4 linked regions of the Styela clava genome follow. The main gene of each other region encodes a partner of the protein of the gene in region 4 in a complex. Links are inferred from orthologs where the notes say so. Each region holds a gene or a part of one and is shown on either strand. Other genes may lie near its edges.

What was found.
Region 1: nuclear pore complex protein Nup205-like (region 4) and nucleoporin NUP188-like share a complex: the UniProt entries of both Homo sapiens proteins name them as parts of the nuclear pore complex. The link is inferred for Styela clava from reciprocal best matches to the Homo sapiens genes NUP205 and NUP188.
Region 2: the proteins of nuclear pore complex protein Nup205-like (region 4) and nuclear pore complex protein Nup85-like are in contact, whole or in part, in a cryo-EM structure (PDB 7TDZ), measured with the Xenopus laevis proteins. The link is inferred for Styela clava from reciprocal best matches to the Homo sapiens genes NUP205 and NUP85. Residues at the interface, in XP_041443600.1 of Xenopus laevis: Glu1477, Cys1480, Arg1481, Cys1484, Asp1485, Ser1517, Gly1518, Tyr1519, Leu1520, Lys1521, Val1522, Val1524, Asp1525, Ser1574, Gly1575, Gln1582, Gln1638, Gly1641, Gln1642, Gln1645, Val1648, Leu1690, Asp1691, Ile1692, Gly1693, Leu1694, Asn1695, Asp1696, Gly1697, Ser1698; in XP_041431608.1 of Xenopus laevis: Ala86, Glu87, Glu88, Ala89, Ser90, Gly91, Lys92, Ser93, Arg94, Lys95, Pro156, Pro239, Met240, Gly245, Thr246, Gln247, Thr248, Leu249, Thr250, Glu251, Phe252, Glu253, Leu254, Lys255, Trp256, Gln257, His258, Trp259, Pro315.
Region 3: nuclear pore complex protein Nup205-like (region 4) and nuclear pore complex protein Nup93-like share a complex: the UniProt entries of both Homo sapiens proteins name them as parts of the nuclear pore complex. The link is inferred for Styela clava from reciprocal best matches to the Homo sapiens genes NUP205 and NUP93.

Annotation. Positions count from the first base shown.
Region 1 is NC_135260.1:11,105,827-11,113,759, forward strand, and holds the start of nucleoporin NUP188-like, read right to left. Parts: upstream 3,015-7,933; 5' UTR 2,918-3,014; coding exon 2,889-2,917; intron 2,218-2,888; coding exon 2,089-2,217; intron 2,008-2,088; coding exon 1,923-2,007; intron 1,686-1,922; coding exon 1,534-1,685; intron 1,075-1,533; coding exon 1,008-1,074; intron 253-1,007; coding exon 124-252; intron 1-123. Other genes in the region: DNA-directed primase/polymerase protein-like, read right to left, coding at 3,483-4,745; DNA-directed primase/polymerase protein-like, read right to left, coding at 5,111-6,601; cytochrome c oxidase assembly protein COX18, mitochondrial-like, read right to left, coding at 6,781-7,839. UniProt on the Homo sapiens protein: Component of the nuclear pore complex (NPC), a complex required for the trafficking across the nuclear envelope. Required for proper protein transport into the nucleus.
Region 2 is NC_135263.1:560,607-568,351, forward strand, and holds nuclear pore complex protein Nup85-like, read right to left. Parts: upstream 3,004-7,745; 5' UTR 2,910-3,003; coding exon 972-2,909; 3' UTR 241-971; downstream 1-240. UniProt on the Homo sapiens protein: Essential component of the nuclear pore complex (NPC) that seems to be required for NPC assembly and maintenance. As part of the NPC Nup107-160 subcomplex plays a role in RNA export and in tethering NUP96/Nup98 and NUP153 to the nucleus.
Region 3 is NC_135264.1:9,869,979-9,876,985, forward strand, and holds the start of nuclear pore complex protein Nup93-like, read left to right. Parts: upstream 1-3,993; 5' UTR 3,994-4,207; coding exon 4,208-6,628; 3' UTR 6,629-7,007. UniProt on the Homo sapiens protein: Plays a role in the nuclear pore complex (NPC) assembly and/or maintenance. May anchor nucleoporins, but not NUP153 and TPR, to the NPC. During renal development, regulates podocyte migration and proliferation through SMAD4 signaling.
Region 4 is NC_135252.1:18,333,828-18,341,817, reverse strand, and holds the start of nuclear pore complex protein Nup205-like, read right to left. Parts: upstream 3,019-7,990; 5' UTR 2,880-3,018; coding exon 2,739-2,879; intron 957-2,738; coding exon 785-956; intron 34-784; coding exon 1-33. UniProt on the Homo sapiens protein: Plays a role in the nuclear pore complex (NPC) assembly and/or maintenance. May anchor NUP62 and other nucleoporins, but not NUP153 and TPR, to the NPC.

The sequences.
Region 1 (7,933 bases), on a different chromosome or scaffold from region 4:
CATCTTGGCTCGCATACTTCGGGAGGCCTGTAATTCTTTATATTGCTAGATGGTAGGCCAGGCTTACAAAAATGAGTCTCTCTTGTGCTTTATATAGTTGAATAATAAGGAAGAATCATTTACCTGATGTGTGAAACTAGAACCCCTTGATTTAGATGAAGGAGGATCAGATGAAAATTGTTCTTTATATTGAGAAAAAATATTTTTACTGAGATCTGATTTTAAATTGTTGACAATTTCTGCATATTCTTGCTGTAAAAGAAAAATAATTCAAGCAAGTTATGTATGTAGTTGTAGAAGAGTTTTAAAACTTATATTATTTCATTTTAAATTCTCGAGTCAGAATTATACACATTATATTAGTCGGCAGTAGGATAAATTTTCCAACCAGAATTAAAAAGCTTGCTGCATCATAGTTTTCATAATGTCCATTTATAATATAACACATAAAGCTAGATATCTTGGATAAACCCAAACTTCATTATCTAGTTAACTCAGGAGTGTTAGTAAATTTGAGGCAACCAATTTCAATGTTTAATGCTATAATATTGCAAGATTTTCAATTCATTTTCAATTCAGACTGGTTTGGCAGCTGCGTTGAATTTGGATCATTGGTATCACAGGAAGTTAGGCAGACCAGGACAGTGGGGCAAGCTAAATTTTACGAAGAGCTTCTATTAACCTAATTGTAATCGTTCCATACATGTAAGTAGCCTATCTATTCAATATTCACAGCGGCAGTTGGAAATTTGAAGAGAGTAATAAAGCAGTTTAGAATAGGTTTCTTGTTCAAATGAATTATGTGGTGAATGATGAACGTTGGACTTGGAAAATAAATTTTCAAATCACAAATATTCCCATATTTCCATCCTGACAAAGCAAATAATAGTTTATATCTTGGCAGACATTCATTATATCATCTCTGAACATCTCAAAACCCAAAATATACATTGATGATTAGGAATTGCAAAACCTATACTTGAGATTACAATGGTAAAATTCTATACCTGAAAATCATGAGATTTATCTTCAAAATAGCTGAGTACATGCTTTATGATTCGCAGTAAATGTAACCTGAACATAATAAAATATTTAGAATCAAAAGAAAAGACTTTTTATTTGATAGGAAAAAATTCGATCTCTAATTTAATAACAAACAATAAAAAAATCCACATCCCAATAGACCACTTTTCTAGTATTCTTAACTTGGCATCGAATCTTAATTAAGAATAAATAGAGCGCATTTATATTAAAATTCTGTGAAAGATGGATGAAAAAGCATTGCGCAACTTCTATGCAACGCAGTTCATAATAACCTATGATAGGTTCAGATTATCACCGAAAATGCCAGTTGTATTAGGGTCTCCATATATGCTGCACTGCTGAAGGATTTCTATGATGTTCGGAATAAATAGGAAATCTTATCTTGTGATCAATATTCAATTTCAAACATATTATAGTTCTGACATTCATACAAAAAATGGATTGGAAAATGTAGTTTTCTTAGACACAAATTTGTTCAAAAGATTTTACCTTTCACTAAAGAAATATTCGGTTATTTTTCCGATCAATGCAAAATGACTTCTGTCATCTTCTAAAAGTTCGTTGAATTTTTCTTTTGATCCGTGAAAATCACAAAATGAATATTGAGATATCAAATTCAGCGTTTGAACAGAATCAAGGTTCTAAAAGTTTGGATATTCAGAATAAAATAATATCAAACAAGAATGAAAATATTTTAAGAATTGTATACTTTCTAAATCAGACTTGATGTGAAGATTTAAACTCTTTCAGGAAAGAAAGAAATAGGGTAGACGACGCCGAACGCAACAAAATATTCTGATCTTTTTCTACATGTATTTAACATTTTTATGCTTTCTTTGAATAAGAACAAAAAAAAAAGTACATTACAAAAATGATACCAGAAACTCTGCTAGCTTCAAACAAAATGTCTGCAGGTTGGATGAGATGCTTTTGTTATTCTTCAATTTTTTCTTTGATTCTTCGCTGTATAAATATGAATATAATTATTATACACATCCTCAAATTTTAACTTAAAATATACTAAAAGAAATTGCATCAACAAACCCGTTTGTCTTATAGTACTTCAAACAGTTTTCAAGACATTGAATATTCTTGTTCAGTTCATTTCCAACAAGATCTGCATCTTTTATGCACGATCTACCAACTGTGATTCTCCATAATTCCTGAAATGGCCTGAGAAACAAATAAAGTAGGCTACTATTAGTTAGAAAAATATCATATATTCTCAACTTGAGACATGTATTTGTAACATTATCAACAGTGTAAGCAGTTACAATACATAGAACTGTACATGATATTCAGGTTAAACAAAGAGTCTAGGACAGTGGTTCATGAAGGGTGGGGGGGGGGGGGGGGGGGGGCATAGACAATTTTATGAGGGAGCGTGAAGCTAATTAAAAATAATGATCCTGCCGATCTTATTGTGGATGTGTACATTTTTTATTTTGGACATTTATGTTCAATCTATGTATTTTCAATGTGTTTTTGAATAAATCATACTTTTGGCTTACTATCTGGTATTTGTAATTTGCTTATTGTTAGCTACTGTAGTTATTTTGGAGGTGGGGCGCGAGACTTGACGAATTTTAAAAAAGGGGCGCGGCTTAAAAAGTTTGAGAACCACTGGTCTAAGAAAATGACATAATTTGATTGTATTCTCTCGAAATGTTTAAGTTTTGAAATACTACATTCTTTTTGTTGAGTATACATACAGTAGGATCACAACCTTTAGTTTTTAGCAGAACTTGGCATTTGAAATTAAATATGAAATAACATAAGTAAAGGATTTAGTAATTAACAAAATTATAGTGAATATGCTAAAAATTAAAAGGCAGAGTGCTTACATGGAATATGTCCTGTCATCTTCTTTCATGATTTAGCAGATTGAACCAAGCAGGGTTCAATATATATCAGTCTTATAAATACTAGAGAAGACTAAATTGAAAATAAATATAAATGGACTATTTGCAGAAAATTGTGGAAAAGTAAAAACATGAAAAATATTGCAAACACACGAGGCAAAATTGTAGCAGCAAAAAGTTTAGAGGGAGCAGCCAATTATTTCAGCGCAACAAAAAATATCTGAAGTTACGGTACTCCATTTACTCAAAGGACTAATTATAAAGGGACAGTATCCAAAAATTCAACTTCATCCATGAAGCGCTTCTCAAAGCAACTTTCAATTTGGTATGATGCAAATACCATTTATCAATACGAAAAGCATCATTCCTTTGCTGTCAATACCATACATACTTTGCTTTCTGCATAAAATTCTCTCTTTATTTTTGAAAACCTTGGCTTAGTTGATCACATAAATTAGTGTTGTAACCTTCCTATCACAGTAAAAGTATTAAATGATTTGTATCAAGCATTATGTACTATAAAATTTTATGATCATCAGCACAGAATAAATGTCTTTAAGAGTTTTTTTCACTGTATCAAGAGTCATTATTCTCCTGTTTTATCTCGTTTTCAATATGGTCAAGAAGATCTTCGTTTGGAACATCGGTGATATACATTCCTTCCTCTAAACATCTTACAACATTCTTTGGAATTCTTATGGGAAGAGAAAAGAAATCCCTACAGGATTGTCTGTCATAACAACGCTGAATGATAACTCTTTGATCAAGATATGCCAGATAATAAACATTGTTACTTTTGTGTTGCCTACCGATATTCCGACAATATCGATTCCCCCTAATGCTATATTTTACTGTGTTTTCCTCTGCATCGTATTCTATACTACCAATATGACCAGGAGTATCGTTCGTTTGAATAAGTGATTTAACATAATCATTGAGTTCTAGACAATCAAAATCGGAGTAAAAACTATCATGTGTAAAAGATGGAACACGCCCACTGGAGATTGGAACATTAGGAGTTCGTTTTTTGATTTCAAAAGGTATAAGATAAATATCTGTATCATCAACATTGCATATAAGTGAAGCATAGAATATGGATTTATTGTTGCCACATTGAGATAATTCAGGCCCAAAAATTTTGTTCGACTGAGCCATTTCTTGTGATAGTGGAACATGGAGAGTGTCGAATTCAAATTTACAATGATCTGATCTCAGTAACAAAGCTTCTTTCCCTTTTTTGCAAGACTGAAACAATCGGAAGTGACGATTTTTTGTATAGACCGCTTTGTCCACAATGAGTTTATCTTGCCCTCCTGAATGTATCGTTAGTCTGTGTCGAAATTCAGGATTTTCACACAATTCTTCAACAAAATCGCCGACTTCAAAATTAGATCGGAATGCAATACCTGGTATTCTGAAGATCAAATGTTGACTAAATTTTTCACTTGTACTCGAATCTAATCGTAATACATTCCATTCTGAACATACAATTCCAAAATCAGACTCCAATTTGTTGCAAGAAAAACAGATCAGATCATCAACAATTTTATTAGCATCAACTTCAGTATTACTTTCTTTTAAAAACTCGAGGTCAAAATAAAGATGGCACGGTTTGTTTTCACGTATTACTTCATAAAAATGTCGAGGCCAATTATTTTTCATCATTTTCTGATATTCCCACCAGAATTTTTCGTAAGTGCAAGCAATGAATTTTCTTCCTGAGCGATTGTTTTGAAGTGAAATAACAGGTTCGACTGCAAATATATGAATGTTTGGATCGTCTCCAGCTTCGGTAAAAGCATCATCTTGTTTGTGGTGAATATTCCAAGGTTTTTCCATAAGGATCACACAAATAAATCAGTTTAAATCTCAATAAAATGAATCCATATAAGCATTATCACAATTACATTCAATCTATAGCATAAATGGAAAAACTAAAAATGTTTAAAAGAAGAAATAGAACAAACAAACACTTTTATAATGCACCCAAAACACTTGAACATTAAAAGAGTTGGTTATAGCCAATTTCAGAATTATAAAGCACTTCCTCTCAGCCAGGGATAAGTTGAGGTAAGTTAGAAATACAGTTAAGGCCCAAAGCATTGCATGTAGGAAATATGTGAAACAGATTTTAAAAATTAGTTGGCCTTCTAAAAAAGTTATAAACATTAGTATAGTACAAGAAAGAACGTGACTTGAGCAGATTATGTTTTGTTCTCTATTGCGTTCAATAAATCATCATCGGTAACATTTCCCCAATCATCCTCATTTTCACTTTCTGAAATTTTACAATAATTTTCACTCTTATTATTATCACTAGTATCTTTTTCAAGTAAGTTAACATAATCTAGCAATTCTTCATCAGTTACATCAAGACCAATATCAACAATATTGTTTGAAACTTCTTTAGGAAAAGGTATCGGAGAAGATTGGTATCCTTGTGATCTACAAACAGGATCAAGGCATTTCTGGTAACAAACTTTAGAATTTAGATCAGCAACATAATAAATATGATTGCTTTTGTGTTGCCGATTAATATTATTACAAAATCGATTTCCAGAAATATTGTATATTATAGTATTACTACAAGGAAAGAAGGTCCACTTGTTAACACAGCCTTTTGTATCATTTGAATTTACAATAGAATTTATGAAATCTTTCAACGAAGGAAATGGAGATTCAAAGCTATCAGTATGAGGAACATTATCGCTAGAAAGTATCGTGTTTAATTCATTTTCTTTTTTTATTCTTGGAGGCATGTCTACTGAAAGAATTTTAATATTTGAATGGAATTTTACGTTCGACACTAGGGAAGCATAGAACACAAGTTCATTGATGTCCTTTTCTGTCGATTTGTATCGTTTCACTGGAGGAATATTTTCCTTTTCTTGAGCATGGTGCCTACAACAAGCAGCTCTTACGTTTCCAAAAGACAAATCGAAATTACAAGTTTCTGATTTCTTTAGGGCAGTAGATTTACCCTTTTTTGTAGACTGAAACAAACGGAAATTTCTATTTCTTGTATATACGCTTTGATCAATAAATGACACAGCTTCACCGTTTGATGTTAGTACTGTAAATTTATTTCCACTGTTATTGCATATGTTTTGGACAAAACCCCCAACTTCATAGTTGTTTCTAAAAACTGCATTCGGAATGTGAAAAATAAGATGACGACTAAATTTAACATCATTCGATGAATCAAGTTCAAGAACATGTTTTCTATCACACTTTATTTTGAAATCTTCAAATAACTGTTGGCAAACAGAATTGATGACTTCGTCAACTAAATCTCCACCATTTATAGATTGATTAAAATTTTTATGATATTCCAAATCAAAGTACAGATGGCATGCGGCATTTTCTTCAATTACTTCATAAAAATGTTTGTCGCTGTTTTTCATTCTTGAATAATAGAACCAGAATTCTTCGTAACTTGACACAATGAATTCTCTTTTTCCTGATGATACATTGTCAGATTTTGGTTCAACTGCAAAAACCCTCAATTCTTCAGACTTAGCGTGAGCATGACGAAAAGCCTCCTTCAATCGAAAATATTTCGACCATGTGGGTGGAGGACATGGCAAGTCAGACAACCTCGGCGCATAAAACTTGTGAATGGGGTTCTCTGTGTATTTTTCAGCCAAACGTTCAACTCTTCTTTGAAATCTCAAAAACTTTTTCTCGCACGCCATCTTAATAACAATTAGTTTACAAAAACGAAATAAATTTAACCATTGAATTTTCTGAAATTAATTCAAAAAATATTTTCCGTGTTTTTAAATTACCGTTTCTCAAATACAACCAACTTCATGGAACATTACCTTCAATTTTCATGAAGAAAATAAATAACAGGATTCCTATCTCACATATGCTATCTCTTAACAAACTTGAACCGTGACAAGATATCTTGATATGGCGTTTTTGAATAATTTACTGGCATTGGCATACGCATCAATTTTTTAAATTTGGGGGATTGCATTACCAAAGCTTGTGTGACACCAAAACCACTGGAAATAAACCAATAAAACACCACACCTGATGGCATGTAGATGGCTACTGGTATCATAACCACAGAAATGCCCCGCAAAAAATTTATCAAATACTTGGATATACCTTCTAAAGGTGTTTTACCATCACCCCTATGTATTTCAATAGTCGCAAGGTTGGCAAATGCCATTAAAACAGGCAAGACAAAATATGGATCCGCAAGACATAAGTTATTGAACCATAAAACGCCTTCTTGACTTAATTCAGTATATGTTTGTACTTGTGTAGCTGATACACTTGTAGTAAATGGTAAAGATAGAGTCATATTTCTGAGTGAAGCAGTCATAGCAAACCATATTGGAAGTTGTACCCAAGGTACTAAATTTCTTCTCAAAGTACCAGGAACTTTATGCTTCTGATACAATTCCTTTTTCCTTTTATGGAAGCTGTTAAAAACATGCATGTCTCGAGTTTTTTTGTCCCATCTATGTTCTTTACCAGCTTCAACCGCCTCTTCATTCAATTGTTTTATAATTTGTTGCAAAACTGGAGCCAGTAGTTTATGTTTCAAATTTTTCTGCATTTGCCATATAAACAAAGGGGCTGTGATTGTCAGTCTCAATGACAGAGTACAAATAACAATAGAGACCCACCAAGGAAGACCAGTTAAGTCATGTACTGTAGTCAAGTATGATTCCGCCATCTTGACTAAACCACTGTCAACAAAGGAACTATAGATAGATTCCCATGTAGTGGGTTCATAATACTTCCCATAATCAGCAGCATAATCCAATGTCTCTGGTGGGTTTGATTGTGAAGATGAGACAAATTGAGTTGTGTGGTATCCAGATCTATTTGATTGCCAAAACCGTCTGTAATGAATTACATGGTGTGGGTTTGAAGCGATTCTTTTAACTGCAACATTAATTAACAAATGCTTCATTCTATTATTACTAAATTACTATACTCAAAACATTACACTAATTCCTGAAAAAAAAAATACAAAATACATATTTAAAGGCAGTGTGAAATAAACT
Region 2 (7,745 bases), on a different chromosome or scaffold from region 4:
TAGATTTTGGGAGTAGTAACAAAATCGTTCCACTCGTGTTTCCGCTGTCCTAATGAGCCACATTGACTTCTATCTTGCACAATAAACCAACATTATTTCACAAAAATGCTTATAACTAGTCACAATCCAGTCCGTTATTCCTCTGCCCCACTTTTTACAGTACATCTTGCATAAGATGAAAAACTTAGAACAAGGGTAAACCAGAACAACCCCATCCATACATGCAAAACACGGAAACAATTCAGTACAAAGCATTATATTGAGCAAAGAATTACCAATTCTCAAAAAACAGGCAGCACATTGCAAAGATTAATCAAGCACAAAAATAAGTTGAAACTAATTTTCATGGAATGTTTTACCATGAACAGGGCCTGGAAAGGAGCCACTGATACCACCTGGGCCCGTGGGTATAAAACCCGACCTGACCGGAGCCCGACTGATTAACTGGATTTGCAGGCAGAGATCGAATCGAACCAAAAATTTCATATTTTATTTAGGAGTTCTTCGAATTCCACACATAGTTTTAGTATATATTTTTTATAAACATATATTTATTTCAAAAAAAAGTCAGCGATAGAGAAGCCCGACCCGAACGTAATGATCAACATTTCAGGCCTGACCTGACCCGAATTTCGGATCGGGCTTCAGATCTTACCGGTAGTTCCAATTGACCCTCTTCAATTAGAAAGATATGGTAAAATGAGAGAAAAACATTTCACTGGTAGCAAAGATGGTGAAACAGAATATTTTATTCTGGAAAATTATAATTTTGAACAATTTGGAGCATCATCGTTTTATTCCTGGAATGCGGAAATAGAAAACAGTTAAAATTACTGCATTAATCTTTCCTGCATTTTCAAATTAAACTCATCGAAATGTCTTTGCTAAACACGACTCACTTTAAAAACATTCGTTATTTAAATATTTTTAGCAGATAATCCGACTTTGTCCATCCCTGGTTTGAACATTCTTTACCCCGCATTGACAATAGCTCTGGCTAAATTCCTTGACATATTTAGTTTAAGTAATTCCAGTCGTTTTTGTCGAGTTTCTTTCTCAGAGTCCGATAATTCTGAGTCTAAATTGATTTGGTCGAGAGTGTTTGATTTAGCGAGTAACTTGGCAGAGTCTGAAGCGTTGAACACGATCTCCTCACACTCAAGAAGAGGGAGACAGTCAATGAGTAGCGACGGCCAAAACTCAACAGGCGCTATATTTGAGATGAGTAGGTTGAGAAGTAGATTCCCAGATTCCTTGTGCATGCCTTCGGCGTAAAGTTTGTGAAAATCCCGATATTTTCCTAAAAACGTCAATCGATCTGATAACAGAATTGAAGGTCCTAAATAATCCAGCAAATCGATATGAGTGAATTCACCAGTTCGAGCGTATTCCGACAACATTTTTTCTGCAATTCGCATCGTTAAGGCTGAATCATTGCATTTTAAACACCACGATAAAGCAGCGCCCAAACGATTTCGCTGTAGCGCTGATACACTCATTTGTCGACAGATACTTTGTGCTTCTGCAAGCAATCCTCGATTTTGGCAAATACGTAACAATTTTGAAGCTTTTTTCTCGCTTGTAATTGGAATTTTTCGCACAAATAGAGAGAGATAGTTATTCTCGTTCTCCGAGCATGCTGACAAATAATCAATCGTAACTCTCCATAGACTTTCATGTGACATGAGACTCGTTGCGTACTCCAGAATCAAAAGTTCATGAAAATCGACCCCAAACTCTAATTTCTTTTGCGACAGAATCCCAAGATGGTAAAAAATGTCGGATAAATGAGCAGCCAACCACCAGTTACTCAACTGCTGACTGCATTCTTTAATAACAGAATACGGATCGAGTTCGAAGGCCGCAAGTAAAATATGATCAAAAGCTCCGAGGTGTTCATGTCCACCGCACGATTCAACAGATATTTTACTATGATGCTGTAACTCCATGACGCTGACGGTCGGTTGTGTGAAAAGTAGTCTCGATATCAACATTTGATGCCATCCGCCATAATCGGGATTCTCAAAAACAGCGTCTTCTCCGCATAAAATCATCGCAATTTCTTGTAATTCCTTGTTAACATTAAACTCTCCTTCGTCAAACCTACGACGACACTCCTCTTGCCAGTGGTTCCATTTCATCTCGAATTCGACGACTGATTGTCCGCGATAGTACGTAAAATGTGGCATTTTTCGCAGCAACTCTTCCATACTTAAAAATGCGTTATCTTTTTGACTCTGGCACTCTGGGTGAAGTTTCAACATGTTTTGGGCGTCGTCCGTTCGACCTTGAAGGACGAGACACTTGATGGTGCTCCAGTACAATTCATGATTATATGGTTGTTCCGTTTGAATGCATTCTTCCATAAAATCATCCGCTTGGGTGAAATGAAACTTGCACCATTCCGCAAGACGAGACAATACAACTCCCGCCGGGGAATTTTCGATGAAAAGTATTTCGCATAAATTCCAGATTATTTCCATCATACTCAGCAGTTCTAATTGCATGACCAATTGAACGTCCTCCATTATACTTTCCTCAATTTTAGATTTTATTTCGAGAACGCAAGCTCGCAAAACAGAACGATATTTCCGACTGAATTTCACAAGTAACTGTTGACCTTGACTACTTTTTTGAAAGTCATTTCTCGCTTCTTGCACTTCGATAAAAATTCGATGTGATTCGTTCAAAAGCTTCCGAGTAATGTCTAAATGCATTTCATTACTCCAGCGTACCTCGTGTATAAGAATTGGCAAATGAGCAAGTTGATTGGGTCGTTCTGACCCCACGTCACCCCCAGCTGCGACCATCATTTGATTTCCGACCCCCCAGCTACTTAAAATCCCACACGGATCAAAAAGTTTGTCGTTTATGTTCATCTCATTGACAAATTCCTCATTGTCAGCCATCTTGTTTTTCTATGATTGCCAAATCCAATATAGTAATATCAAAAAATTGTTTTAGTGTTTCAACTGAAAATATATAAAGAACCATAATGTAAATTAAAATAATACTGTAAAATAGGATTTCATATTTCAACATTTATTTATACCAATCAGAAATGGTAGTGAAAAACCACGAGCTAACAATTATACGGCAGCAATCTATTTTTTAAATCTGATATTAAAATCACTACAAATACTGAAATATTTTGGTTTTTAACTGAGAATTTGCACAAGACTGAAATGTTAAGATGGGATTTAATAACATTTATTCCTCTGTCTGTCTGTAGACTTGTACAGACAACTGGAAGATTGACTTATGCAGTGTGCTTAAAGCATTGGATTTAGGGCACATTTCTACAATTCCAAGAATAGCCCCCATATTGTCATTGGAAGACCTCATTTCTTTCTGCAATTATAACAGTGAGAGTGAACCCCTTCTTTATGAAACAGTCAGGGCCTGCATATCGACTCAACGTGGCAAACTGGCACCGCGTAATAAACTAGAAGGAAGCCGTCACCATTGGATTCCTCGAGAAAAAATAATTTAATTTTGAAACGGTAGAGGAAAAGCATAAGACCGGAAGTTAGGCAATATGGCAGAAATCCAATATTTCAAATCTGAGGCCTTTTTTATTTATACTTATTCAGTTAAAATTAGCAAATTATGCAAAAAACTTACGATATTATAAACCTACTTATTATTCAAATTATTGCTTAATATTATTGCACATAAATTTCGTAATTCCATTCAAAGGGTTTGTCTTGTCTACTACATATTTTTTCTCTACACTAGGGCCATTTTTATCTTCTTTTTAAGGAAGTAAGGAGAGCAATAGGGTCTAGTATAGTTTAGTACCACAAGTACTTCCGGAGGGCGTAGCATAACGAATTTTGCATATGTTATTCCTAACCCCCACCTGACTATGCCATCCAAAAATTATGTCACTACGACGTCACCATCACGTCATAGGGCTTGCTGAAGTATAATTACGATTGCCCGAAATGGCATCTGCGCCGCCAATCTCGCAAACGCCCGCGATCTCTCTCTTATTGGGATCGTTGTGGCGAGAGAACGAGAGAAATAGCTTGCTCAATTTCGGGTGATTGTCTACGCGTTTCGGACGACTATCCGCATACTTTGGTGGGCCTTATTACGCCACTGTGACTTCGAAATGACCTAATTTTTCGGTGATATAGTCAGGTGAGGGTTAGAATTGACTTATGCAAAAATTGTTAAGCCAGGCCAACTAGAAGTGCGTGTGGTACTAAACTATACCAGACCCGAGCAATATCTGGTGTTTATTTTCAAATATGATAAAATTTCTCATAATCCAAACATTATATCGCACTATTGATAATAAAAGTAAAATTACATTCAAATCTACAGTTGTTAGGCTATATGACTAAATATAAAGGTTCAGGAAAATTCAATAATATACAAGAATCATAATTTATTGCAAACAAAATGTATTCTAATTAATTTCAATAATAAAGTAAACAAAATCATAAATTTTCTGGGTAAACTCGCAAGACATAAAAATATGTGACACAAACTCAGGTTTTTTATTGCATGATAAACGCATTTATTTTTCTGCAACTCTTTTGACAGTTTGATCTCTGGTATATTTATATTACTGGTGGAAATGCTGAAAAAGGTCTCAAATCTGATATTAAAATCACTATCTGCATAGGCCTATATCTACATATCTAGCCAGCACAAAATTGGGGAGTGGAAGTGGTGATTCCTCTACGGCCCATGGGCCGGGGCCACGGCCCATCGAATTGGGCCTCGGCCCATCAGGCTATGGGCCGCGGCCCATCAAGTTGTGCAAAGGGACTATTCACTTGGCTAACACAGAAGTCCCCAAACTCATAATAGAACTATAATGTGGAAAATCTGAACAAAATTTTGTCCTAACCCTAACCTGGTACACAGACTACAGGAGTATCCTTTTCTGTAGCCTGGTATTTTGCTTTATTTTTATATGAAGGCTTATCGTAAGAAAAAAAATTGGTGGCATCCAACGATTTTTTTTTGGTTCGAATATTTACAATTTTGTGAAAATTGAAAATTTTGGTAAGATAATTGAACTTTTCTTGATGGGGCCACGGCCCATGTGGCCCAATTAGATGGGCCGTGGCCCCGGCCCATGGGCCGTAGAGGAATCACCACCCCTGTAGAAATTGGGTTTGCCAAATCGCAGAATGGATAAATGACTGAAGACGGCTGTATAGACGTCCTGTTAAAAATATTGTCAAACGAATATAAAAAGGAATATGAATTTTCGGCAAAAATAAAGTGTAATTGAAGTTATACAATTCTATTTTACACTTTTCAACTCGAATATATACGGTAATTACTAAATTGAGGAAGCCGTAATATGTAAGCCAAAGGAAAAACTGAAGCACAACAGTATGATATGCGCGCCAACGGAATCAATGTGCCAAAAGATGGCGCTAATACATCACAAATGCATAGGATTCCATGTGCCAAAGAAAGAAAATGAATAAAACGATTTCGCTGGCATTGCGGTGGCCGTTGAACGACCTAGGATAGGATAGGATAGAATTTACATATTTATCCCGGGGGAAAGGAAAGCCGATAAGACGGCTTACTGATGACCCCCAAAGGTCGTATCGTTGCCCCTCAGTCATATACCGAAAACTATTTTTTTGATAATTGTTTATGTGTCCATAAATTGTTTTCTTGATTTGACAAAATGAAAATGAAATAAACTCTCCCTCTCTCGCTTATCCATATGGCGAACCACGACCTCTCGTCCGGTTACCATTCCGAGTCGGGTATGGGATTAGTTAAATTGTTTGTTTTCGGAAGCATGGACTTGGTGGTGGAGGAAGCCGTAACCGACCAGCGGTTACGTGAACCACCCAACGACGGCGAGGAGTCCAGCAATCCTCTCGCACATAATCATCCCTGCATGGGATTCGAACCTGCGAACCCATGCAGAGTAATTAGAGGTGCGGTGGCGAGCGTATTCCTAACGCTTAGCCCGTTGAGCCACACCGCCGCGCCCATACCTAATACTACAGTAGGGTTGCCAACCGTCCTTCATTTCAAAGGACAATCTTTTAATTAAGATTTTTGGTCCTTGCCTTTTTTAGCATTTAGAAAAGATGCTAACTGTCCAATTTTATTAACATTGTTTGGGTCATTGTTAAATAAACATAAAATAAAAAAACACATAAAATTTGTTTTAATATATCTTTTCAGCTTATATATCGTTTTTATTCAATTGTTTTATATTGTTCTTTCCTGCAAGATACAAAATAAATGATGACGGTAATCTATGTCCTTTATCGAAACTTTTCTTAGTTGGCAACCCTATACTACAGCGAATGACGTTTTATTGATCTTTTACTAGTTCAGGGCAAATATAGCAATGGATTGCCAATTTGCTGATTTCGAGCACGCGCATTTCATACCTAGGATTGTGTTTTTGCTTAATTATTTGTGAGTTGCTTGTCGAGTGCATGACCCCCCCTTGAAAATTGCTGGCTACGCCCCTGCACCTTCTAATGACAAAAAGCTCATTATTTCTTCAGCAGGGATATTCGGCACCTAATCGCGTTTCTAGTGTCAAATCAATATTTCCAATATAGACTTTCATCTCTTCGCGATAAACATCAATACCTACCTCGGGGAGCTACTCAATTGGCAACTTAAAATTGATGTGTTCGTTAGAATTTTTCTTACTGTTGTTTGCAATAAATCGCTTTTCTGCGCGACTCGTACATTTAAAATGTTTAGTGCTTGAAGCCCTGTGATTAAACTATGCATTTAAGTTTTGTTTGCAAAGTGAAATATATTGTCTGGAATGACCCTTGTTACTCCGCCTGTCATGACTGAAGTCGTTTTCTTCCATTGGCGAGAGTGACACCTGACACCGGGACGCCCAAATGTACCTCAAAGTCCTGCTTTTGTTAATATTCTATGTATGACTTTTTTCATCATAACTCTACTCCCTTCACACTGAAATGCATTTTTTCGGCATATGTGAAAAGATAAACTACCGACCAATTGACTGGGCCCCAGAAATTTTAAAGCTCTATGTAGGGATCTTCGATGAAAAAATTTGGGTAGTCCTGCCCTATCCCATGAATCTTCTAAAAAATTAAACGTCTACCGCCACGTCGAGTAACGCGGCGAAAATCGTATGACAGACATGAAAATATTTTTCTTTGAATTTTTAATATAAAATAAATAAAACATTGCAATATGTAATATAAATGAAACTTTAAAATAAACAGACGTAAACAGAATGATAAATAAAAATCAAGTACGAGGTTCAAAACACAGGAAAATTATCTACAAACGATACAGTGAAACAATTTGAACTTTGAAGGTTTTCCAAGCATTTCGACTATCTTATTTTTCCGTACAAAGGGGCGTCTCTTAACTTAACGTTAAAATATACCAAAAAACTTCACATCAGGGTCGTGCAGGCTCTGCCAGTCTTCATTATGATCGCTAAAAGCATTTTATGACCCTAAATCGGAGTCTTTATAATATGAAATATTTAAAATAGCGATAGCTTTTTATGGTCAAGTCCATTTTAAACCAACAACTGGCTATCTAATCCCATACCCGAAATGGATTGGTAACCGGTCGAGATGACATGGTTCGTCATATGACTGAGCCGTCTTATCGTCTTTCCTAAGGGATAAATAAGTGAATCATATCCCATGGTCATACGGGGTCGCTTATTATTTTAACTCGCTCAGGTACGGATCAAGAAAGCAAGAATTGCACTGGTTACAATGTAAAATATGGTTTAGTAC
Region 3 (7,007 bases), on a different chromosome or scaffold from region 4:
AGTACATCCGCGTAAAATTATTGGATAAAAAATACGTTGAACCAGAGCAAAATGGACATACTTTGTCATTAATTTTGGTAGTGTTTTTACCTAGAATTAATGGATAAAAAATATGTCAAATTAGAGCAAAATGGACGTTTGACCTTTGACCCCAAACATTATTTTCATACTTTGTCACTAATTTTGGGAGTGTTTGAGCAACTTTAGATACCGGTACTGTTCAGTACATTCGTGTAAAATTATTGTATGAAAAATACGCTGAATCAGAGCCGTACTTGGCCATTAGTGCGGAGGCGATCTTTTCGTCCATAACTATTCTCACGGGATTCCTATTTCCTATCATTCAACACGATATGGACCTTTCCCCGAGCATCGACTTCCTTGTTTACTTCGTGACATTGGCCAATCAGCAAGATGCAAAAAAGGACGTAACAATGAGAGGAATTTTTCGCGGGTCAAAGCCGTAGGCTTGCACGTAATTGACAAAAATCAATTCCGTAATTACGGCAAAATCAATTACGTAATGACCCCGTAATTGTGATATTTTTCCACGCATTTAAACCTATCATAACAACCAATTGAATCCACTTCTTTTCCGAATGGGACATTGAAGTTGGGTTTTCATATTCTTGGCAGTACTACACGCCATCGGCAGATGTTAAAGACAAATATCAAGGAGTGAATTCAAATTAATTTTATTCTGATTTTTATCTTTTGTGTTAGCTTTGATTTCCTTTATCACCTTCGCAAATTAACCGTCCCATTTTTATGCGATCAATTTTATTTTATCATTACCGACACTGGTATACGGTTATTTATGGAAACGATAGTTTTTTAAAACCACCTTAGTACTGAATAAAAATTAAGGGTTTCTAATTTATTAACCAACGACGAGCGTATTCACTCATTTGATTATACTTGCGATTTCCTCGCGACGAAGACTTGTTTTTGCAGCGTCTTCTGCATTATCCGACATTACTGCCTTGTTAGCATTTTATAATAATAATTATTGATGTCGACTTATTGACGATATTCCGATTACCATGCTTCATTTTACATTTAATCATTTCGCGGACTGAATGTTTAAAACATTATTTGCGATAAATTTAGATTAAATATTATTTATTTGAGTATAGTTTAAATATCGAACTTATATGATATGCCTTCTCCGAAAATACAAAAGTTATATCGCAAAACAATGCATTTTGTGACATTTATTTTACACTCACGACATTAATTTGCTAACTCAAGTCGGCGATCCTATCGGCCAAGATTGACACAAGTTTGGTCGAGTGCCTTGGTATTCAAGTAGACGATAAATCAAAATAAGTTGCCGCATTTGGTAAGACAGTTAATCATACATGGCCGAAATATTGAGAGGAATTGTGAAAAACATCATGCGCAAGACCAAGTCCGGACTGATATATAACGATAAAACCGTTAACAGAACATCAAGATTTTGTAATAGAAAATGGATCTCGCACAGAATAAACACACTGGCTCATATTTGATTATATATGATAGCAGTTAAATTTTTTTGCGGTCCGCGAGGAATCCGTCGTTTTGCTGTTTCTCTGCCGTCTCAATCGCTTTACCGATGCCGAGAAGACGAAGTTGCGTTGGTTCATTACGCAATCTCTCTTTTGTCGTCATATTGCTATTTGATAAGCGCGACATTAATTATCACGGCGAGGTATTGGCGCGAGTGATCAATCGCTCTTTTGGCTTATTTGGTTCCAATTCGTCGCGAAAGCTCTTCGTTAAATTTCACAAAATCGTCGTGTTGAAAGGTTATGGATATTTTCCTGTTTATACCCAAGTATGAAATAAAACAGCCAAAAACAGTATGATATTCCATGTTCATATATCAAGTGTTGATATTAACATTAAAGAATGGTTAAGCATTGCTAATCCACACTTGGTGGGGAATTCCCACTATTTAAACGCGTGACTATAAAATAAAATGAAATAGAAACGGAACATATATACCATAAGTAACGGAAAACTGGAACAAGTAAATAATAAATAAAAGTAAAATGGATACAAATGTTTGATAGACCATGTTTGAAAGATTGATCTCCTGCGTTCATTAGTCATTTCACCCGAAGAAGTTGAAACCGGGCGTGTTAGCGTCCATCGGTCTTAACACAATTCTTCCCCCTATCTACGGTTATTATGTACATTGGCCATGGCCATGCTAGATAAGATGCGAGAGAAGTTGAAACCAGGTGTGTTGGCGTCAATCGGTCTTAACGCAATTCTATCCCTTATCTACGGTTAAGTTACGGGAGAAGTTAAAACCAGGTGTGTTGGCGTCAAACGGTCTTAACGCAATTCTATCCCCTATCTACGGTTAAGTTACGGGAGAAGTTAAAACCAGGTGTGTTAGCGTCAATCGGTCTCAACGCAATTCTATCTTTTATCTACGGTTAAGTTACGGGAGAAGTTAAAACCAGGTGTGTTGGCGTCAAACGGCCCTACTCAGTTCTTCCCCCTTAACTACGTTAATAATTTACATTGGCCATGCCAGAGAAGTTGATAATAGGTTAGTGAATGGCAACGCGTCATGCCCTCCTTCACCTACGTAACAAGAGAGAGAAAAACGGCTGCGAATACCGGAACTCTAACTTCTACTTGTTGAGCTTTCATTTTTCGCAATCGACGAAATTGACTGCTTTGAAGAAAGCTCGTTTCAATGCAATAATTACGACTTTACGGAATTCGTAACTTCCCTTCCGTAACTCAAAATAATTACGTAATTCCGTAAATCCGTAAATTACGTGCAAGCCTAGTCAAAGGTTGGGGAAAGGTCCATGGTCTTTTTGCTTCGCAATATTTCGATCAGACCAAATCTTGCAGGCTGGTATTTGTCGACAATTGTGGAGTTATAATATTTTGGCATCTTTATATTACTGGATTATTGATTTTAAAACCATTTAAACCGATTTACATTGGTGAGCAATTGCAAATTTTCGGCGTGCAAAATTGATTTCGCTCGCGTGCATTTTTGCGGAGCGCTAGCGCCCTCGGGCGTGCACCTGCCATGGAATCCAGTCTGGGGGTACGGTAGGCCTACCTACTGCTGTACTGTGAAAATACTGCAATACTGGTACCGTACCTCTAGTCTCTCTTCTCTGCAAAATAGGATGCACCCACCACCTTCTTCTTTTGCATCTATTTTTTTTTTTATCCTTGCGTCTTTTCAGCCACAACAGTAATCCCAATTTTTGATGTTTGCTCAAAGCCATCGCCAAACCACAGAACAAAGCACCGGAACTCAACTCAAATCTCAGACAACGCAGCGCGTCAACGCAAAGGAATGTTTCCTCGAGAATTCGTTGCGTTGACGCAGTGCGCCAAAATGATGCGTTAACGCAACAACGCAAGTTTACTTAAACAATTAAAGAATAACGCACTGGTGTGAACAGATGTGAATGGGCCCTTACATTGTATTGTAAAAAACAATTTTGCAACGAACGCATAAACGGTAAAATAATAGTGTCAAACGTTTAAACAGCGCAGTTATGAATTTAGTATCTTGTAATTTATTATTCATAAAATTATCCCAGTTTTTCGGCTGATATAAGATTAACTAAACTTTGATTTTCTAAGTTCTGTAATCCCGCCCAAAATCAGGACAGACAACAGCTATACTCTGACTCCCACTACCGGTGAATCTACATGGCTGATTAAAAAAAATTTATTTGTCACAAGACACAATAACTAACAGGAATAAGGCAAAGCTCTGCGACGTGGACGCGTTCGGCAATATTTTGCTGTTTTGTGAGTAATATGTTTCAGTTTAGGATACATTTTTTATTTAGGCGTTATGTAGATGCAGGTTTTTTTGCTATAATATATATATTTAGATAGTTTACTTTGAATATTCCGGAGTACCGGTACCGTACACAACAAAGTTGGAGAATTCTTGCTTATTGTGCTTTTGTTGTTGTTCAACCTCTGTACCACTTACCGGTAGACTACCTGGCTACAGACTTATCGCAGAACCGAAACCGGTACCGTACCGGCACGTGCTATTAATTCCAATGTTTATTTAACTGCTGAGCTGTGTTTAAATTGTTGATATCATAGTAGACTAGCCTACAGTGCACTGATTTTCCAATGAAACACTTTTTGACATAAGTTACCGTAAGTCATTTCCAATATAAAGTTTTAGATTATAGTAATTAATATTCAACCTAAAATCATGTCTGGTGTTGAACTTGACGATATTTTACAACAAGCAGAACGACTGACAGCGGATCTTGATGGTGGTAACGAGTTACCAAGAGTCCAGCGTAACCTTCAACAAATTTTGGACGCTGGACAAAGACTCTGTTCTGGAACCCCAGCAACCCATGATAATGCAGAAGTCAGGGCTTCATTGCTTCTTAGTAGACGTGGGCATGAAATTCCGCAAATTTCTGATAGACTGAGGACGTTAACATCAGCTGCACAGACCTTAGAGCCATTGGAACCAGTATGTGATACTGATATTGAAGGCTTTCTTCGAAATGAACGAGAAAATGCTATACTTGCTGTTCTAGAAGAACAAAAAAGTAAGGCTTTTCAAGCTGTTGAAAAATATTATTGGCAATCTAGAATGAGTGAGTGGGAAAAACAAAAGCAGAGTATACTTGGGAAGCTTATTGGCAGCGATGGAACTTTGAATTTCACCCAAGAATTTTCTGAAGCTGGAAGAGTAGTTGATGACTACAATACTTCTCGTTCGGTTTCTCGGAGTGCTATGGATACTTGGGAAGTTGGTTATGCACAACAAGTTTACATCTATAATGAAAAAGTATTATCTGGATCGATTCGACCAAATTTCGTAGATTTGTGTCAAATAACGGCTGAAAAAATACGAGATGAAAATATTATTTCGCTATGGAATATGGTGAAATATGTCCTGAATGCTGAAATATCTGTAGCGGACAAATCTGTCCTTGCAAGAAGATTGTCAAAAAATGTAATCTCTTCTGTCGTTGGCCAAGCTCGAAGTTATTTAGAAGACATGTACAGAGATTACATGATGAAATGTGTGCATCAGCGCCCTCATGTGGCACAACTTGGTGGACGACCAGGCACTATCAATCTTGTTAAAAGTTTTTTGAAGGTAAAGCCTCCGCATCAAGTTCATGAATACAGAAATATCGATTGGGCGATTTTGTATTTTTGTCTTCGATGCGGAGATCTCGAAGCTGCTTGTGAAGTTGCGCAATCTTTGGATGGGACTTTCCCAGAGCTTTCAGGTTGGATTAACGAGTATGCTAAAGATCGTACTTTGTCTCCAACTTCTGAAAATAAATTATTATTACAATACAAAAGATCAATTCGAAATGCTGGAAATCCATATGCAATCGCTATATTTTGTATTCTCGGTCATTGCGATTTTATGGAGTCACATACAGAAATCGCTGGAACAACTGATGACTATTTATGGGTAAAGTTATGTCAAGTTGTCGTTGAAAAGTCCTCTTCAACGCAATCCGAAGTTTTGACCTTGCTAACGCTTCAAAAACTTCTCTCCGATTATGGAGAATCCCACTTCAACGCTACTTCAAACCCTCTACTGTATTTCCAAGTATTGTTTTTGACTTACCAATTTGAAGCAGCGATTGAATTTTTGTCTCGATTTCCGAGTTTACGATGCCATGCATTGCATGTAGCACTAGCGCTTCACGAAGCAAATCTATTGGTGAAAGCAACCAATCTACATGACGGGTTGATCAGTTCCAAGCCATCTGACCAATCTCAATTCACGAATGTACAACGACTAAATTTACCAAGATTGTTAATGATGTACACTCGGAAATTTGAGTTGACTGACCCAAGAGAGGCGTTAAATTACTTGTACTTTCTCAGAGATGAGAGACATGAAAATGAGAGTCTCTTCTTGCAATGTACGAGCGAGCTGATTCGTGAAACAGGCGAATTCTCGATGCTTTTAGGGGGTTTGAATCCTGATGGTAGCCGGCGCCCTGGATTAGTGGATAGATATTGTGCTGGTGACACAAAGGAATTGATTGCAAAAGTCGCTGCAGATACGGAAGCCAAAGGTCTCTTTGAAGATGCCATCCGATTGTATGACCTATGTGGAAATTATGATAATGTTATTACGCTTCTAAATAGGCTTATGTGTCCTCTACTACCGTCTGCCGACCGTGCCCATTCTGACCGAGTTCGTATCAAAGATCTTGCTGTTTCAATTGCTCAGAGATATCGCTCACTTGCCGTTGAGCTTTCACAGGATCTGAGTTCCACGTTTTACGTTCTGCTTGACCTCCTGACCTTTTTTGACCAGTATCACCTTCGTCGTTACGACACCGCAATGGATATTATAAATCAACTTCATATCTTGCCAACTAAGCCTGAGCAAGTTCAAGACAGGGTGAGAAATTTTTCTGCGTTTTCCGAGGAAGTTCGTCAAAACATTGGGGAAATTCTGCTAGCTACGATGAACATGTTAGCATCTCAGAAAAAGGCTCTGCAAAGCAATAAAATCTTAGAAGTTGGGGCGACACGTTCTTACGCAAGTGCTTTACTGACTTTTGCTGGAATGCTTCCATACCAGTTACCTGGAGATATCACATCAAAACTAGTGCAAATTGAGGTTGATATGATGTGAGAGGACATATTATAAGTACACTGAAATGTCCAAAATCGATTGAATATTCGAGACCATTCGAAATGGGTTGGCAAATGTATGACTTAAGAGGTATCAGAATATTTTCATTTGGATATTTGTCAATTTGGGTATTTGACATCTGACACTATCAATTTACCATGATTTCTGCAAATTTCTCTGCTGAATATGATATTCCACATTCAAAAATATTATCACAGAATGTATGGCTTTTATTAATTTTGGCCTGTAAGCATAAGGTATGTTGCTTGAATGCCAAACACTATCCATTTTGATCAACTTGGTACAATCACACTGATATCAAAATTTACATTGTAAACATTGACGCTTGGCAACAAATAAGTGCTAATGCTAGTCTGTG
Region 4 (7,990 bases):
TTAATTGTGGATAGTGAGGTTGTTGCCTCTCACCTATGTTAATTAGAAAAAATAGTAATCCAAAATTCAGAATAAAATTGAATTGTTCAAAACATTTATCACAGCGTACATTCCACTTGAAGTTGTTCACTTTATTTACATCTGTAAACTTATCACTGGCATTACCTTGCACACAGATGCTAATAATGTACAACTTATTGAGAATATTCTTGATATTGCTTTTCTGAAAAAGTTTGACTTTGGTTGGGCTAGGCAGAACTTAACAGAATAATATTTGTAAGTGTGAAGACTTCTGAACCACAAGAATTTTACTTTTTAAAAACAATATCTTTGCAGCGTTTGTAGAGCATATGGATCTACTAACACTGAGGCGTAGAGAAAGGGGTAATCGGTCGAAGGTTACCATTTTAATCCAAAATACCAAATAACTATTTGAATGGTTAAATCCAACCTTTATCAGTTTTAAACTTCGAATGAATTATAGATTTTTTTACTGGGGAAGGGAACTCGCGGGGAACCAAAGCTGGTTACCATGCAGCGACACCCAAGGTTCAAATATCTACGGTAATTTGAAAAATTAAAATTTTAGAGTTAGGAAACTACTGTTTTTAATGGTGAGTACCGTACGAATCGTTGACTAACGAATCGTCTAACATCGATTAATACAGATAGTTAATTTCTTGAATGTTTTCTCAACAAGTTGACTATTAGAATAAATGTTTGTACCTTGTTTTACAAATATAGGCAATGCTATTAACAAATACATTGATTTATACAACCTTACCTTCCAATAATAACTCAACGGCAGAAAACTCATTCAAATTGAACAAATCACTGACAATAAGAGATTCATCTATAAAATCTTGAGAGAATGTCTGCGGCGAACTTTCTCCTTTGAGACTCAAACCTTCGTTCACTGCATTTTGTACTTTGGTCCGATGCTCAGCATTTTTCACCTGTTAAAAATAGAAGTATATTATGATAATATATTATGAGTGGTCGCTAGAAAAACAGAAAATTTGTCAAACAGCTGTTTATTTTGCACAGAATACCTTTTTTGAGGTATATATAGAATCAAATTGAGTCAAATAGAAAATATATCAACCTATAACCAAAAATAAATAAAAACGTTTCGAAAAAGGAAAGGAGTAAGCAAGCATTTTATTTGAGATCTCATCTGATCTGACCTTCCAATTTTTTGCTTGTCTAGCGACTACCCTACTTACAATTGAAGTTTTACTACAGCATATCCAAGTATTGAAGCATTGCAATATCCAGATATCTGATGGCTGAATAATATCTTGTTACAGTATGAAAGGATTAAGGCAGAGGTCGGGAACCCATGGCTCGCGAGCCATATATGGCTCTTTTGGTGGCGGCTTATGGCTTCCAGAAAAATCTAATATTCTGAGGCTAAGCTTACTATTGTAACGAGATTTCAAACTCTTTTATAGACAAATTTGCCAATAAGTTTGAGAACGCGTGCCCAGCGCATGTCTATGTTTTGTAAGAGAATTACCAGACAGGCATTGTGACCAAATTATGTGATTCTGGAACATATATTGTGACATCACAAATCGGTAGTCTCGGAGCAATAGAAAAAAGCTTTTTGTCCATTTTTACGTACTAGTTACAGTTACAGTATTTGTCATATTTAGATCAGACTAGCAAAGCTAGTTTTTAAAATACTACGAAGATGCCTAAACGAAAGAAGGGTGATGAGTATCATAGATTTTAACTTGTGCTCATGTGAGCAGCCGTTCAAGGCCCTCAGCGTCAACATGCAGCATCAGAAGTCACAATAAATGTATATGACATTGTATGTGTTGACTTTTGAGTAAAAATCAGGCCTGATTAAGTGAAGAAATGCTATATGACTCGCACAGAGATACAATCGAAAATATCTACCTTTTATGGCTCTCTTGACCAAAAAGGTTCCAGACTCCTGGATTAAGGGAATATAGTCAAAAACAGTGGTTTTAAACCTTTTTGGTGGAGCAAAACCATGACAGCTTGAAGAACTCCTGTGCATTTGCATATATGTCATCATACACTAGACTAGGCAAATCAAAAAATTTAGATTAACGGTTTAATGTGATTGTCTTCAAAGGCATAAGCGTAATAGTGGAACACACATATTAAACCTGTGTATTTGATTATATTTGAACAACATTCAGATAAACGTTACATATGCATGTGATTATATCTAGATATGGACTCTTGGATTCAAATGTAAACTTGGGTAACCCCAAACTGTCTGGCTGCAATGCTGTACTGGCAGTATGGCACTGTTCTCCGATTCCAGGATTTCTCAACATTTGGTTCAATGAAACAGGCTTTATTTGTCTATGAAACATGGCCGTATGACACGATGACAGATGTGTCAAATCGCGAAAGATTGTCTTGGTAATAGTAATTCAAATAACCGTGATAAATTAGATTTTTTTTTCAAGGTAAACAATGGCTGAATGATCAGATGGTTCATTATGCAATGCCAGTTTGCCCGTTTGATTCCATACAGTACGACTGTACGGAGGCCCAGAACATTTCGCAAGGGAGGGTTTGCACTCACTTTTATAGTTATTGTCTTATAATGTCTGAATGTGGGGGATATTCTTGAAATTGGACAACTGCAAACTGCAACTGCTGAAACTGTGTCATACTGAATAGAAGAAGCATGGTTGGAAACCACTAGTCTATAGAGCTTCGAGATCAAAATACCAATAACAGATGCTTACAGGGTTTTTAAGCAGGCTTAAGAAGTCAGGTCTGTGGCGTCGAAGAAGAGCTTTGAAATGATGAATCGATCCACTTTTTCTGAGAACGATTTCTTGAACAGTTGACCACAGCTCTTTAAACGGAGCCCACCTCTCCATCATCACACCCGGTCCTCGTTAAATGAAATACCTACAGACCTAATAATATATTATAGTTCTGTAGTTATGAAACCTCACAGAAATCCAATCTCTAGAACTCGGAATGCTGAAATGGCACGAACTACAAAAGTGCAGTACGCTCCCGCCACAATATAGTGGCATTTAGACGGTGCCAATGGTTTGCAGTTCGTGCCACCACATTAAAATTCGGTTCTGATCTTGCTCAAGCATTTCCAGTGAAAAAACGGAAATGCGGAAAAAAAGCTTGGGATTGTCTGGCAACAAATTTCAATCTTACGAGTAGCGACTATTGAAAGAGTTAATTGAAATTTTGCATCATGCACTAAAAGTTATCGGATTGTCGCTTGTATCCTCATTTTATCCACATGCAAAATTTAAAACCATTATCACTAACAACGGATATTTATTTATAGTTGCGTTTCGCTTGTTGGACACGAAGTGGACATAACGATCGTTTCAATATTATGTTGTTGTTGTTGTTGTTGTTCTTGTTCTTTGACACGTTTTTAAAAAGTCGCTTTTCTCTTCGAATACTGGACCAATTGCTTTGAAATTTTCAGTGGTTAAAGATTAATTTTTTCGCTAGAAGGCTATTACTTTTATTTATTTCAAAATTTTGCGTGAATTCTATGAAATTTGATATTTCGTCTAAAATTTTGCTGCATTATTTTTTATCCATGGGAACACGGATTTTAGTCAGTGTCATGACTGGCTGTACGTTTTGATTCTGCAAAATTCTTGCTACTGGAAATTCAGAACTTTTTTGAGGGTACCGGTAGCGTCAAAGGTACCGGTAAGGACTGATTCGCTCTGGTCTAACGTGTCCATATATTTGTGCGTAGCTCTCTTGTCTTACTATATAATATAATAATAATATTATAGTATACAAAACCCCTATAAAAGGTAGCATAGCGTTTAGTAATCCTAGTAACAGTGGTACTGTTTTTATCGATAAATATTATTATATAATATATATTTGCATTATATTTGTTTTATTGTAGTAAACTTTTGACCTGACAACAGACAAAACGAAAAGATAAAATATAATCTGTTACACACAACAAATTGCACGAATCGAGATTGTTATAGATGTATTTTGTTGTTGAATTAGCATCCAAGGCTATTCTTGTACATTATCGCACCATATGTTAGAAATCTAAAAAAATCTTGCAACTGAATGTTAGGCTTATTTCAAATGACCCATGACCTAATTAAAGCAGAAAGAATAGTAGTAAATAAAATACCACAGACTGCGATATCAGCAACGCGGGTAGCAATGCTTACAAAATTTTGCTCCGTGTAGGGTGTAGATTGTGAAATCGATTTCGAGGAAGTCTTTCGGCAACTTAACAAATTTCTAATAGTGTCATTTCTTCAAACAAGCATGCTTTTATTTTACTCTTTTATCTAAAATTTGATTTTAGTTTTTTTTTTAAATTCACCATTTTTATTCAAATTATTTATTTGCCCTTTTCGCTTCGGTAGTAAAACATGATGACAGATTCACCGACAATTAACCTATTTATAACTGAAAATAAGATTTGGTTGTAGAGAAGGTATAAAACGCCACATAGAAATATAAAAATTAGCTCAGCACTTTACCACCCCAGATAGTGTCTTTAGCCCCGCTCGTGTCGTTTGTTTCAAGCATTCCGATCATACGCTTATCGTATTTAAAACAGCAAAATGCTTCTCGATAGTCCTACAAACAAAAAAAAAATCGGAATGAAGTACAATTTTCGACCGTGACTCTAGCGACGTTACATGAACCCAAATCCATTCATGTCCGCAACAGCATATTAAACCGGAAATGTATGATTAAAATGAGAGTGAGCCATCTTCTTCATGCGTCTATTTTTGCCTTATGAGAGACAATGCAACGAATGACACGGCAGTGACGCAATTGAGAATTATCAATATAAACAAGGGTTGTGATGCTCATCCAGAATTTCATCGTGTATCCAGTGGACTAACTGTGTCAAACAGTTTGAATCAAGGTTAGCTAGGAAATATAATAAATTTTTCCTTTGAGTAACATTCCAATATTTATTTTTTTTTTTCGGAATAGTCGGCTTCTTAGATTTTGGGATTGAGTTTTCGTCGTGCAGACTTATGCGTTGTGTAACTTTCCTATTTGAAAGTAAAGACAACATGTAAACATAGACATTGAAAAAAGTTCAAAATTTACAGCCTCCACGTGGAGTTCGATTTCAAAATAATTGTCAATGTGTTCTGGAATGATTTTTATCGGTGTAACTTCAACTTTTGACGATTACAACGTGCTCCGAATCAAAGATCTTTGATCCAAATAAGATAATTCTATATCTTATTTTTTAAGATGAACAAGGCATTTTTGATTTTGCTTCTACTTGGGTTGTGTTTGATTTTGGAATCGGAAGCTGTAAGCGTCAAATAATAAGTTTGGTTTTTCTTGAAAATAATAATACAAATTAAATTATTGATTGACACTATTTTAATACAGTAATTCACTGAATACAAAATTGTTTTTGTTCGCGATAAATTTTGTCTTTGATAAATTTAAGTTGAAGCGTCTTAATACGGAACAATGATTCACTGACTAATTCTTTATTTCCACTGATTAATTTGAAGGTTGGTTAGTATTATGGCTTTATTAGGTTTTAACGTTTTATGTGATGAAAGTATTTGTGCATCTAGCTGACACGATTTTGTTGTATTTTCGATTTTGAAGTTGCTATTTTGTTGTAACTAGGCTGAAAACTGTTAGAACCCATAACAAGCAATACGTATATTTTTTTTTGGCGCTTCCGAAGTATGTGAACCAAGATGGCGCACAACCCGAACCCTAACCTGGTACACATATTATGTTCAGGTTGTGCGCCATCTTGGTGCACATACTTCGAGATGTCCCTTTTTCCTTTAAAATTTATTCACAATCAAGCATATTTTTCAAATTCACTATGTTTCCATCCAGTCCGGGCCCAGGAAAAATTCGAAGAAGATATCCAAGGCCTGGTTGGCCATGGGGACGAAGGCGTAAATTCCGAGGACGACGCTGTTACCTCAAAGGAGATGAAGAAAAAGATGAGGAACCAAGCGCCGAGCAACAACAACAGTTTGATTCCATACTTGAGCGCGCGAAAAAGTTGGATCAAAAACTTGCGGAGGGTAAAATTCTTTTAGCGCCACTGTTAACACTGTCTCTATAAGACGTTCATTACATCTGACTGTCGTGTTGTCGTTACTGTATAACAGTGGTCTGCCAATGCGCGGGCCAAATGCGGCCCGCAAACAATTTTTAGGTGGCCCCGAACGACCTCAACTTTAATGCACAAAAGGAAAAATTGCTCACAATATCATTATCTGCGCCAAATAAAAGTCGTAAAACGGCTGTTGTACGGCTTTGTTTTGTAGTAATAAGCGTAAGCGAAATCTTATTTCAGTCGTTTACTTGTCGATCTGTTAGTTGTAATTAACACAGAAATAGCAGTTGAGGGTGCGTGATAAAATGAAGTTCAATTTGGCAATTATTTACCGGCGGAAATCAATATGGTCTGCTTGTTGTCGTCAATGTGCATATTTGGCTCAGTAGTAAATAAAGTTTGCCGACCACTGTTATGAACTTCAGTGCGGCATTTTAAAATTTAGCAATTATCCAAATGTGGGAACTATCGCCTAACTCAAGACTATTGAAAAAGCTGAAAAATTATTAACATAAAAACTTGTTAGAAGTCAAATATAAAACCAATTGATTTACTTCCATATTTTCCGTCATGATGGGTAAATGGTGCGTGTGTTGGCTATATTGGCCAACGGATCAGTGCTATCGGATTTATGCCATTGATCAAGTCAGTATCAGTATCAAAATGATCAATTATGTTGCAATTCATATTGTATTTACTGGATTGGGCGGGTTATTGTCGATTTTGCATAATTATATTGATATCGCAGTTGTGGGAAATTTATCAAGCAAACCTATCGATCACTCACGGTTGTAGAAAATTGGGTGAGCTAACCGATCGTAGCACTGCAAGTTATTAGCAAAAGTGTGAAACAATAATATGTTAATGATTTTTCATTTTATTTTTCTAAAGATATCGCAGATCTGTTCAACGAGTAGAAGACAAAAAAGCAGAATCGTTTCAAGGAGATTTTCAATATTGAAACTCTTACTATTTCTCAATGCCAAGGATGAAACATTGACAATGCAAATTTCGTTCATCATGTATTAATGTTTCAACCTTGGCCTTGTGTTTTGCTGCGACAGTTTCTATCAGCTTGACAAATAAATCTCCCTATAGAATTATTGGTTAAATTTGACCTCATGAAATTAGTAGAAGTTCGCACTGGTTGAGAAATACTTAAAATATTATTGAGTGTTTTAAATGGCTCGGGGGCCAGGTAGAAAAAAAAAACTATAAATGGTAAAAAAAATAATTGTTTGTGAAATTTGAGTGACCAGCTAGCCGCTTCAGTCCTTTACAGTAATGTACTAGAAATTCAACATTGATAGATCGATTAGTCGCGGAGAAAAGTTTTCTTTCCGAAAAATTCTTAGTCAATTTTATTGTCTTATTGTTGAAAATATTTACTTCGATTATATCAATGCTTGATGGTTAGAAGCATTGGTGAGATTCAGGGGCTGGAATGTGATAATCAGAAAACCCGTTCTTGTTTTTTTTTGTGTGTGTTTGACCAGGGGTTTGCAAACTGCTGCCCGCAGGGAAAAATTGTGCGTCCCACTGAGAAGTGCGAATTTTGAATAATGTGCCGCGAAACGAGTTTTTAGTTTAGTTAATCTGGTACCTGCGAGCAATTCCAATCTTTTTCCGATGCAAAGTCTATACCAGTACCCGAGTGCCACTGTCATATTAGCAAAACTAGCATTTCAAAACTAGCTAGCAAAATCCTGCAAAATACACAATGTTATAAAATGTGTTTCTTAATGAATTCGTTTAAAGTCGGTGTGACAATAAATTTGAATAGCAATTTCTTCAGAAATATTTGCGTTTCAACCATTTCTGCAAGGACCCCCACCAATGCTGATCAATAACAAAAAGAAACAATTTTGTTATGCCTGAAAGTCTACAACTACTAGAAATTCTATCTTAAAT